Drosophila melanogaster: one gene and its partners. The gene in region 1 interacts genetically with each later gene. Each region holds a gene or a part of one and is shown in the gene's direction. Other genes may lie near its edges.

What was found. Genes that interact genetically often act in the same process or in processes that back each other up.
Region 2: of sc (region 1) and chn, changing one suppresses a phenotype caused by changing the other (phenotypic suppression), as found in Drosophila melanogaster (one study listed by BioGRID).
Region 3: of sc (region 1) and Sumo, changing one enhances a phenotype caused by changing the other (phenotypic enhancement), as found in Drosophila melanogaster (one study listed by BioGRID).

What each region holds. Positions count from the first base shown.
Region 1 is NC_004354.4:393,970-398,254, forward strand, and holds sc (scute), read left to right. Parts: upstream 1-2,090; 5' UTR 2,091-2,207; coding exon 2,208-3,245; 3' UTR 3,246-3,528; downstream 3,529-4,285. UniProt on the Drosophila melanogaster protein: AS-C proteins are involved in the determination of the neuronal precursors in the peripheral nervous system and the central nervous system. Also involved in sex determination and dosage compensation.
Region 2 is NT_033778.4:15,113,480-15,118,716, forward strand, and holds the start of chn (charlatan), read left to right. Parts: upstream 1-1,981; 5' UTR 1,982-2,209; intron 2,210-5,237. UniProt on the Drosophila melanogaster protein: Probable transcription factor involved in the development of the adult pattern of macrochaetae. Required for accumulation of achaete (ac) and scute (sc) in proneural clusters.
Region 3 is NT_033779.5:6,966,024-6,969,236, reverse strand, and holds Sumo (small ubiquitin like modifier), read left to right. Parts: upstream 1-1,592; 5' UTR 1,593-1,729; intron 1,730-1,851; 5' UTR 1,852-1,936; coding exon 1,937-2,209; 3' UTR 2,210-2,457; downstream 2,458-3,213.

The sequences.
Region 1 (4,285 bases):
TTCCATTTCCCGTTTTCGCGGTCCGGAACTATGCTTCATATCAAAGTAATTACGCATTTAAATCCTCCAAGCGTTGCGTCTGGAAAAAGGATATAAACAAGGTAGTCCGAAAAAAATGTTTACTGGTTGTCGGGACAACATCGAAAGGTTACTTAACTTGCTTTCTGATGGTTTTCCTGAAGAACAAGTCTTTCGAAATAATAAAAAAAACATTATTAAGTTTCCGAAAATATATAAAAGACTTCCACAAAGATAGAGTTAAATTAACAATATTATATACTAAAGGAAATGAAGCATTTATGAAATATAAAATTTAAATCATTCAAAATTAAAAGATTCCTACACTAGGTACTATAATTTTGAAGGTAATATCCAATGCTTGTTCAAGGTATGAGTGGCATTTACATGCAAGCGGTGACCGGAATTGGACCTATGATTAATCAATTGTACCGAACACGCGATTATACCAACCTTGCTTATGACTCTCCGCTTCAAGGAAAAAAGGATCGCGTATATGCATTATATGCATTCCACTTCAGTTAAATGTCCGCATACACCATAGATCACACAGTTCACTGAGTGGAGTTTCTAATGACGACTTCAACCCTATTCTAGGCATGTCACCGGCATTTCTCCCAACCATTTATTAAAATGCTTCAATGGAATTTTGGAAAATGCGAAAATTTAAATAGAACATTGTGCTGCCAAAATTTCTGCAACACTCAAGAACAATGATAGTGTTAATGATGGTAAAATAATGGAAACCAACTACCGATCCCTCCGTTACAATGCAAAAACTAAAGAGTGGAGACTCCAAGCGAAGTTCAGCATGCAAAAAAGGTATTGGAAATGGTGAAAGGATTTTATTTATAGGAACAACACAGAGAAGCGCCGTTTGCTGGTCATGGTTGAAAAGGTTTTTTTGTTATCAGGATTTCGGTTTTCGCTTTGGTTTTGGTTTCGGATTCGGTTTTTGATTTTGGGATCCGGGGATCTAAAATTTGCCAAATAGAAGTGAAGAAGTGCTATTGCTGATGATTTGGCAAAAGAAAAATGCTGGCAGAAGCAAACGAGGGTAACGAGTTGAGGACAATAAAAATATTACACCTGGTCGCCGATTTGGCATCTTTTCACTCGCTCATCGATTGATGATCGTGACAAAATGAACCGATTTTTGTGAACAGAGCGGAAGTTACAATTTACAGTCGCCGTTTAGCACGACACAGTGGCCAATGGCAAGTTACAACAGTCTGAAATAATCAATTTATTATTTCAAAGAAGATGTATGAAACTTCATGTATGTCTAGTATTTCTTTACCTTAGACCGCATTATGTAATAGAACAAATAACAAGTATACACCGTTAAAAGTCAAATGTGTGAACATTTAATCAAACCCAGAACTAAATTATTCCCAAACAAATTAATATATTTAAAGCAACATCCCAGTAGTTCTAGAAAAAACACAAGTAGCCACAAACAAAGAACCGCAGTTTTCACTGCAAACTTCCTTCTAGAACTTGTGTCACATCCCTTTGATTTACTTAACAAAAAATTGTGATCCTTTTGATAATTTAATTGGAGAAATAAGTGAAATTGTTTGAACACCTTTAGGGAGCGTACTCCGAATGTCTAATAAGGAGGATCCCAGGATCTTCTGTCGATCCCTTGGATCCGTCCGGCGCTAATGAATAGAAGCGTGCGTGAGCTGCACATAAAATTGGCGATCGCGACTTTTGCTAAGTTAATTAACACAGAAATCAAATTGCTGGCGTGCCGTAGCAAAAAGAGCCCTCACTCAGATACCTTGATCGTTTTTCGATATTTCGAGTTGATATTTTGAGTTTAAAATTTGAGTGTTTCTTTTGGACTGTCGAGTGAGAACAGTTTTCCTGTGGGATACTCGAGTACCTGAGACAGAGAAAGAGAGAGAGACTACCTGTGGCTCACTCACTTCGAGTTCCCTACCTGTGCAGGTAGCTCTTGCCGTCACTCTCTCTCTCTCTTTCTCTCCGATTCTCTCGCCCGTTTCTCTGCCTGAGTGTTGTGCAGAGAGTTGCATAAAGGGTACATAACGCGAGGGTTTAGGACGAAGGGACTCATTCTTGTGTAAGGTGTCAAACGATCAAGTTCAAGTATTGTACTCTGTTCATTTATTTTTTTCTGTTGATCGTTATCCGGAAAGTTAAAGAAAGCTCCGAGTGTGTTAATGAAAAATAATAATAATACAACGAAAAGCACTACCATGTCATCGAGTGTGCTGTCCACCAACGAAACGTTTCCAACGACCATCAATTCGGCAACGAAGATCTTTCGTTATCAGCACATAATGCCAGCCCCTAGTCCATTAATTCCCGGTGGCAATCAAAATCAACCCGCTGGCACAATGCCAATTAAGACTCGCAAGTATACACCAAGGGGTATGGCACTGACCAGATGCTCTGAATCAGTATCATCTCTATCGCCTGGTTCCTCGCCGGCTCCATATAATGTAGACCAATCCCAGTCGGTCCAAAGGCGCAATGCTAGAGAACGAAATCGTGTAAAGCAGGTGAACAACAGCTTCGCCAGGTTGCGGCAACATATACCACAATCCATAATCACGGATTTGACAAAGGGTGGTGGTCGAGGACCTCACAAAAAGATCTCCAAAGTAGACACACTGCGCATTGCCGTCGAGTACATCCGGAGGCTTCAGGATCTGGTGGATGACCTAAATGGGGGCAGCAATATTGGTGCCAACAATGCAGTCACCCAGCTTCAACTTTGTTTGGATGAGTCCAGCAGTCACAGTTCGAGCAGCAGTACTTGCAGTTCCTCAGGGCATAATACCTACTATCAAAACACGATCTCTGTCAGTCCTCTGCAACAACAGCAGCAGCTACAGAGGCAGCAGTTCAATCACCAACCGCTGACAGCGCTCTCATTAAATACCAACTTGGTGGGCACATCCGTACCAGGTGGAGATGCAGGATGCGTATCCACCAGCAAAAACCAGCAAACCTGCCACTCGCCAACATCATCATTCAACTCCAGCATGTCCTTTGATTCAGGCACCTACGAAGGAGTTCCCCAACAAATATCCACCCACCTGGATCGTCTGGATCATCTGGACAACGAATTACACACGCACTCCCAACTTCAGCTAAAATTTGAACCGTACGAACATTTTCAATTAGACGAGGAGGACTGCACCCCCGACGACGAGGAGATTTTGGACTACATCTCTCTATGGCAGGAGCAGTGACTTAATCCCCAAAATTTACCACCACGCCCTATTTTCTTCTAGTCAATGTTGAGTTGAACCAAGTGCCTCAAATTGTAAATAACACTAATACAAAAACAACATACCCCCAATTTTTTTTTCTTACTTTAAGCTATTTTTTTACATTGTTAAGAACCACGAGACCAGTTTCAAATTTATATATTTATGAAATAACTATAGCATGGAAACGAAAACATATTTTTTTGCTAATACAATTTTATGTTAATTAGTTTTTGGTGGAAAAATAAAATGAAAAAATTAAACGAAAAATCATATTTAAGTTCTTTTCTCAAAGGGGATCCATCTATTGATCAGGTTTGTAAAACATTCGGGTACTACTTGCATTGCCTTGCAGTGCCGATGGGACCATGTGCAGCCGTTATGTACAATTAAGGTTGCTTTGCATTGGTTTTACAAAATCACTCTTATATCCAAAAATCATTAATACGAATTACAGATAACGCAAAACATAGATCAGTATTTGGTTTTAGACCAGTAGTTTCCTATTTCTTCAGGTAGTTTCTAAGAATGTCAAATTATCGCAGGTAAGACGATGACACCTGTGACACGTGCCACGAGGTTACTAGTTTAAAAGGTTACTAGTTTTACAATTACGACTTTGAAATTCAGATCAGATATTGAACTTAAAAAAGGAAAAGTGTCGAAAAAGCAATTTACAATTTATTCAATATAAGAGGAGTTCGTATTTATGTATACATTACTACTTAAATATATAAAGTGAGGTAGTTTTAACCCGATCAACACTTTTAAGACTTTTTCTTTTGAATTTGCTCAGCTTAACTATAGTTCCTAGTATTCCCTATAATGTACGGCCTTACAAAAAAGTATTTTACCCACTTTTTACACTTCTGAAAAAGTTAAATGCAAACACCTTACCCCAAACAATAACTAAGTTCTTCACTCCCACGCACCGTTGAGATGTCAGTCCGTTGGAATAAACCTCTTCCACTGGCCAGACAATAAATCACGTTGCATTAGAAAAACAAACGCATGGGAGAATG
Region 2 (5,237 bases), on another chromosome or scaffold:
GAAATGCTCCTCGGCACAACCATTATGAATTGTTTTTAATTGCATTGAATTTGCTTTCGGTGAAAATGCGGCAAATATCCACAAAAATCGAGGCCATCTGTGGAAAAAAGGCAACACGAAAAACCGAACAAAAAATTAAACAGTTAAGTAGGAAAAATGCAAGAAAAAAGAAAAACGCTCTTGTTGTTGGTGACGTTGATTAAAAACTTTTCGAGACAGTTGACGTTGCAGAAAATTCTCAAAAATGGAGATGAAAAATCCTGTATTTTGGTGTGTGTGTGTGTGTGTTTTTGTTTGCGTGTGTGAGTGCAGCTGAAGAGGCAACTGTAAAATTAGGTTAGCAAAGGAGTTTTGGGGTCTGTGGTGTGGGCTATGGGTTATATGGCTGACTATGTGGTCACATGTGCAATTTGATTAAAACTTGGGTGCCGCTAAAAAAAACTGCTGTCCTCAAGTGACGGAAAAAGTGGACGAAAAAATGACGAAAATCTAAAAATGAACGTCGTCATGGCTAAGTGGTAGCCATTTTTTACCTGCAATCGTTTTGCCACTCGACTGAATGGTTTTGCGGCTAGGGCAAAAACATAAAATCCGCGAAAATTAATTAAAGATTGCGCACCTTACGCTAATCTGTTTTAATGAAATTCCCTTTTATGTTTTTTCTTGGCCTTTAAAGTGGAGTGGGTCATCCTACAGATGAATAAATCCTATTTTTTGTCTGCAATGTTCTCTTTCAATGTATCATGTCAGTACTATTTAATTAGTATTTTATTATTAATGTATTATGCAAAGCTGCTGGCCTTCTTAAAATAAGTAGTACATTGTACTAATAAACCAAGATTATAATATTTTATATATCGAGGATTAAAACAGTTTTTGTTTGGCAGCTTTTTGGCAAAAAATTATAAATACGAGTGAGCATTTTAAAAACATTTTACAAATTGACAGAGTTGGCATGACTAAGCATTGTACATGGCTATAATCCAGTGAATATGTTTATTGATCAAATAAAATTAATCAAATAACCGTATGTAGAATTCTAGGTGGTAACTTAAACTCTACAAGTGTAGCAATTCGGAAAGCAGCTCCAAAATAGTTCGCAATGGGTTAGTGACACAGCTAATATTAGAAGGTAGTAATCGTGTATGATGTAATGTAAAATTATTGTAAAATGGAACCGGAAATGTAATTTTTAAGGAGGATTGCAAATGAAATTCAATTTCAATAGCATTCTATGTAATGGAAATTCTTTTAAGCTTAACAAATGAAAGCTTAACAAATAAGAAAATTGGTCTTTAAAAATCATATGTTGTTGTTTAATTAGTCAAATAATAAATTCAACTATTATTATACTTACAGATAATTAAAAAAAATAAATAACTTAAGAGATTTTTTGCTGTGGCCTTTTTTCCGCGCTGAATACAATTAATTCGATGTTTTCGGATGTTTTCGGCGCGACTATCGATAATACCCCGATACTGACAAATAAAAAATAAATTATTTTTTTATTTTAATATACTCTTTCTTAATTTAAGTCAATTAATAAGTCTATTTATATATTAGAATCGTTTTTTTAGCTTAGTGACAAAGTTTTGCCGGAGAGTCCACTTGTTATGCGTGGGAGCGTGAGCGTTGCGGAATGCGCGCGCTTTTTGCAATTGTGGAAAGCGGAAAAGCGGAGGGGTGTCAGAAGAAGAAGCAGGGCGGCGCAGACAGGAAGCTTTTCCCACAATTGCACAACGTCGGAGAGGTATTATTATTACGCGACAGGCAATCGGCGCGGCAACAACAGCAAACTAAGCAACGCATCGCAGACGCAAAAACAAAACTAAATATTACAACATATTTACTTGGCCCAATAGGGGGAGGGACGGGAAATTTTCCGCCCAACCCATCAGCCACCCCAAAAGAGTGGGTGGCGGAGAATCGCCGTAGGATCCGCTCCTCCGCGACCATTCATATTCATTCAGTCACGAAATCTCATTCGGTGTGTGAGTGTTGATGAGGTTAGTTGTGAAACGCGGTCCGTTCTCGTTAAGTCGGAAAACCGAAAAGTGCATCAAGGAAATCATTTAACAAATCAGTGAAGTAAATTAATTTCCAGCTGCAAAGGAGAAACACAAACCTACTAAACAGTGTGCCGCGCGAAAAGAGGCGAAAAAGTGTTGCATACTCCGGGGCTGGCTGCAAAACCTCCGCTAACATGTTGGTAAGTTGGTGAATAAAATATTTTAAAACAAATCGGATCAGAGTAGCATGGAGTATCTATTAATTGATTTTCCTGGGAGGGGGGGCCTTTCCATATCTATTTTCCAAGCCAAGTGATTTATTGATTTTTCCGCAATGCGTTTGTGTGTGTGTGTGCGTATCTTTTTCGGTATGCACTTTTTCCAGAGAAACATCCCACTGGGGGCAGCAACCCCCAACTAAAAAGCGCCAACTTCTATTTTTCCTTCATCAATACTTCACACAAACACACACACGCACACAGTGGAATAAAAACAAATGGTATTGGTGTGTGGATTGGAGCAGGCGCTCTATGCAACGGTATAGCAACCCCCAAACAATGCACAACCCACCCTCTTTCTCGCTCTCGTTATGGCTTTGAAGGGTATTACTATCCCGCTCTCGCGACAATAGCTCAACTGTTTTGGCATTTGAAAACTAACTGCCGCCCCCATCCCCCCGCACCCACCTATCGTAACCCCCTTAGTTTCTCGCTCCTGGGTGGGTGGTTGTTTTTCACAGCCGGAGCACATCATAAATTTTGTGTCTATAACAATTTTTGTTATATTCAACCACCCCACCCACCTACCCACCACCCCAAAAAGCGACCCACACCCCTTATCAAAAAAGTGCAAAGGAATTGTGTTGCACTTTCGAGAGTTCAACTTCCGTTCGTTCACTCTCGCGCTCTCTGGGAAAATAGAAAATAACGGCACAGGCTTGCGCTCTCTCCAAAGAGAGAGATGCATTTTCATTTCGATTCGATGGGGGGTTTTGCATATGATTTTTTGGGGTTTCGGTTTTTATGCAACATATGCGACTACATATGTATGCATATGTATGTAGGAGTTATATAATTTGTATTTGATTATTTTGCCTTTGACGAATTCCGTTTGTGGCATGGTGTTTTCAAATGAAAACTAAAAATGTGTGGTTTTTTGTTGCCATGGGCAATATGGTGAAAATTTGTGGGTGGCAATGTCTGCTGCAGAATGCAAATAACTGCATTCGAGTGCTTTATATATATATTTATATATATAAGATTATATTCCCACGCACATATTTTATACATTTATATATTATATGGAAAATGCAATTTGTATGCAGTCGAATTGCACTTGCCCGGGATTATGCCTATATAAATAAATACTATGTACGGGGTAGGGGGATACCGGCAACGGAATTTCGTTTCATGGCGTCTCCATGGATTATATATAGAAATTAGTTGTGTTTTTGAAGCTGCTTACATAGACTGACAGCTTAATTGCTTTTTACTCGTCGACAAAAATTGATTTTAAGCTCGAGTTAAACGAAGCCAAGCACTGGAAAATGCCTAGAATGCAACGCATATTCCTTTAGATTGGAAAGTAAAGGGGTGGAAAACGGAAGCAGACTATAAGACAAAGTTAAGCAAGTTCGTTAAGCAATAACAACTAAGTGAGTTCGTTAACCCAACAATACATGACAGCATTGTTGAAAACTTTGACTAAAATTGGAAATCATTATATTAGCGATCACTTTCTTTTATTTCCAAAAGAACCTTATGTACTTTTTGAACTTGATTCTTTGGTAGTCACTACATAACATGAAAAAAGCGTAGCGATCATTTGATTTTATTCTTAGCCGCAAACTGACTATTTCCTGTTGACTTCATTTCATTCACACTCCCCACGCTGATGATGATGATTGAAAAAATCACCCAGGGGCCAAGACCCAGTGACTCACCCGACCGCAAGGCAAGCCAAGCGGAGACTGTACCCAACCCAATGCTCAAAACAAACCCAGTCTCGAAAACGCACACACACACACACACACTACCCACCCACTCAGACAAAGTGGATTCGAGTTGGGAGTTCGGAGGGAGTTGCGCATGCGTGGCCGTGTCCCACGCCCACTCGTCAAGGGGTGTCTCCACATAGGAAAAACATTTACGGAAATCTAAAGATTTGCTCTTTGAAATTATGTTAGAACTCACTTGATCTATAGGAAGTCACAACTAGTACTACATTTTCATTGTTTGAATCCTATATCAACGGGATATAACAACATATAGGCAACGTATTATAACAAATGCCTACATAGACAGTATGCAAATTTGTACCAATAATGTCCCCTCTTTTTTCTCTGTGCATGTTGGATGTGAGATAGTGTACGTATATAAAGGGTTGGAGCGAACTATACAGTGGGAACCAGTGATCGCACAACCACCCCCGGGGTTCCCAAGTTAAATGAGACGTGACAAAGTGCAAGAGTTTCGACCCCTTTGAGAAGTGCCAGGCAGATTTCCTCTTCACAAGTGGCGCCCAAAATGGGAAGCCCTATTCCAGCGAGGAGACTTTCTCCCAACTGCAAAACCGAAGAAGGGCTTCGTCTTCAGGGGCAACAGGTTTTGCTGGCCGTAGGAAGCCATGTGCTGCTGTAATTGGTCAGGCTCATTACGGGGATCGTTGGTTATATCACAGCTTGCACCGGGCCAAGGATGGACTAACGGGTCCACCCAGGCCCAGTGAGCACTGCCTCCGAAAGAACCTCTCAGGGGGATTCGAGGTGGCCCACATGTTGTCCACTGACGGCTGCTCACGAACCGGTTCCAGTCACCAGGCAGCTCCTTTATCCGCGATCATCATCATCTCCATTTCCATCACCACCATCATCATCATCTCCTTGGCCGGCCACTTCCACTTGAGTGGCAATGAAGGCAAAGTAGGGTGCTCAGGCTGCTCCATTTCGAGGGTTAACCTGTTTGCAGTTACCCTACGGTTGAGGTATGTGGGTTTCAGTGCACCTTTCGGTAACTACTTGATTTCGGGAAATACGCTTATGTCTTTCATTTTAAATCTTTAAAGAGCAGTCATGTGTACATATTGACTACTGAACTTAATTTTAACAAATGAAATAATATTTCATATATTATGATTACTTCATGAAGGAACTTAAAAACTACTTCCGAATGATAGGGCATTTCCAGGTCTGTCTGGCCGAATAGACATTATGCATCTTCTTCACCTCAT
Region 3 (3,213 bases), on another chromosome or scaffold:
GCCGTGGATCGGATGGATGAGTGAGTTAGTGTAAGGGAGCTTTCCTCTGTTTGGTACACATTGCGAACTGCTCCGATGGCCTGTGGCAATCTACTCCATTCATCCATTATGTCTGTAACCAATTTACCATTTCGATCTTTTCATGTACGTTGAGCTGATTGTTATCGTACTGAAGACGAATCCGCGGCGGAAACTCGCATAGAACAAACAGAAAACTGCGCAAAGGTTTGCTTTTGGTAACTGGTAACGATTGGTTGTGGTTGGTCAGGTCAGGGGTCTTTCGAGCTGGTTAGCCTCCACTTTGGATTGCGGACGGTGACAAAATTCTGGGGGTCTTTTATTTTTGTATTGTATTGTTTGGCAGACAGGATCCATGCAATTGCCTTTTCGTACCGTGCGACATACGGGAAACAAACTATTGTGTAGCAGGGCATTTTTCCTATTACACCATTATTAAGAAAAGCGGACAGAGATCAATGTCACATTTAGATTTGATCAAATAAAGAAAAGAATTCCTCCTTACACGAAAAAGTACTTGTTTCATTTCTAAGTATTTATCAAGATGACTTGAATTTTTTACAATTTTCGCTTGTTAAACTGGTCTATATGTCCTGGATAAGAAGATTTGCAGTGGCGTCCTTGGAATCTCTTTAAAAATGTATACATTTGTTGCAAATAAAGCATTGTGAAATCTATGGACATTAAATGCGACCTCTATTGGAAAACATTCACATATGTCGCAAATTATTATAAGCGGATATGATAGAAAATGTTAAAGTAAAAGGGACTAATTTCAAGGATGAAACATTGAATATCAATAGCAAGCATTTTTCATTCCAACCCGATAAGTACCTATGTACCCAGTTATATTACGAGTAATGGGTATCAGCTGATCGCTACCTTTGCTTCTAAAATGGCATACTGCGTATATCAATAGGCGACATATCGATATAATTGACTGCTATCTCAGCAACATAAAGAAACTGGAATATTCTAACTGTATTTTGCATGCGAATATAAACTTTAGCCGTAATCTTGTCGAATGCTACAAAAAACTACCCAGTAACTTATTATTCTGCCTTTCTTTAATTCGATTCCCTTTGCCATTGAGTACCCGATAGTTAAATATTTGTATGCTGCCCTGCGTACACTGGCCTACAAGCAACTCGAAAAATTCAATTATGTTCGCCGATAGTTAAATAATTTGATGTGGCCCTGCTCACATTGGCTAACAAGTAATGTGAATTAATTATGGGTATAGATATTGCTTGAATTGCAATTCTCATATCACTTTTTTTTTAATTTTCCGTAATATTCATCTTTACGAACCATCCCAATACTTATGCTTCTATTTAAATATTAACATTCATATTTATATTAAACATATATATTGACTCTCTAATATGCTTTAAATGCTATTTAAATCGATTGCGTGCTTAGCATTACATTTTTTAGTCCAATTGTTTGAATATTTTTTCTTTTCGGCATATATCAAAATTACTTGTTAGGAAAAACGTGACCGAAAACCGAAACAGTGACAATAATGGATGGTTGCTGGCGAATCTATCGACTACCTATCGTGTATCGATACACACCGATAGTATCGCAAAAGTTAACGAGGTAGGTCCAGCACCAGTTTTTTTGGCGTGTAGCTGTAGCAGAAGCAAAAGGAAGCCGCTTGTGATAAATTTCAACTTCCATCAGCAAGCACTGAATTTGAGGAAATCAGGTAAATTTTTGCATTTCTACGCGATTAGTTGCTGCCCCGCGGTATTGTGCTTAGTTTTTACGTGTGGTTTACCAATTTCCGCGTACTTAATTGGACATTTTGCCTCGTTTTTTTTCGTACAGCACGCCCGGCATTCGACGCTCCGCAAAAGAAAAAAAAAACTTTTTTGACCACTTAGCAGCTTCAACAAGCAACCAAAAAATCAACATGTCTGACGAAAAGAAGGGAGGTGAGACCGAGCACATCAACCTGAAGGTCCTCGGCCAGGACAACGCCGTCGTCCAGTTCAAGATCAAGAAGCACACACCCTTGAGGAAGCTGATGAACGCCTACTGCGACCGTGCCGGACTCTCCATGCAGGTGGTGCGCTTCCGTTTCGACGGACAGCCCATCAACGAGAACGACACTCCGACCTCGCTGGAGATGGAGGAGGGCGACACCATCGAGGTTTACCAGCAGCAGACTGGTGGCGCTCCATAAGATTACTTAGTTAAGTTAGTTACTCCTCTTACAACTACACACTTAAAACGAAAAAGAAAAAAATACAAGAAAAACCACAAAAGCAAAAACACAACAACAACAACATGAAGAATCCAACAAACCAGGCCCTAAGAATCGATTGAATATGCTTTTAGTACAACTGTAGATTCTAAATGCGTCTGTGTGCGTAAATAACAAAAACATTTGCAGACAAGAAAATGGTAAATAAAGCATTTTATAAACTACACAAAATTTGCCGTCTTTCGCTATTTATTCCTGCGCCTGATCGGCGTTTGTTTTTGCCCTTCTGCAACGAAAAGCCGGTGCGAATTTCCCGCTTTGTGACCCTCTTTCTAAACAGCACGCACACACACTGTCATTGGCATGGCACGTCTGTGTGCGAGCAGGACTGGGTCCAGTGCGCGTGTGTGCGTGCAAATTGATATACATACACATCGGAGAACACTGAATTTGCGGGAAAAGTACAAGCATACATATACGCCTGCGAATTTGCGAAGTCTGGGAAAACATAACCTCAAATTTGAACAAGAAAAAAAAATGACGTCAGTTTTGAGAACCTTCTGGAAATTACATAGAGGTAACTATAACCTCAAAATTGGGATCTAGTAATACGCTTGTGTGTTTGTGAAAGCCAAGCCATACATGATGATTGTGTATGTATACCATGTATACATACATACCATTCATGATGTATGTGCGTATGTGCTTAAATTTTCAAAGGTACAGTTGTGTAAAAAAAAACTATGATGAAAAATTAAAAAGTAGATATGTACGTATGCATACATGAAGTCATGTCGACAGGTCCTGTTATATTAGACCGGCTGTATATGTATATGTATATGTGTTCATTTTTAATATTGGTATTGGGTAAAAATTTCCGAAATTTTTCTTATAGATTTTTTGCTGTCTCACCATGACTCAGCACCATACATATATACTTTATATTGTAAAACATTTATTTTCCAGGCCCTTTAATTATGTAT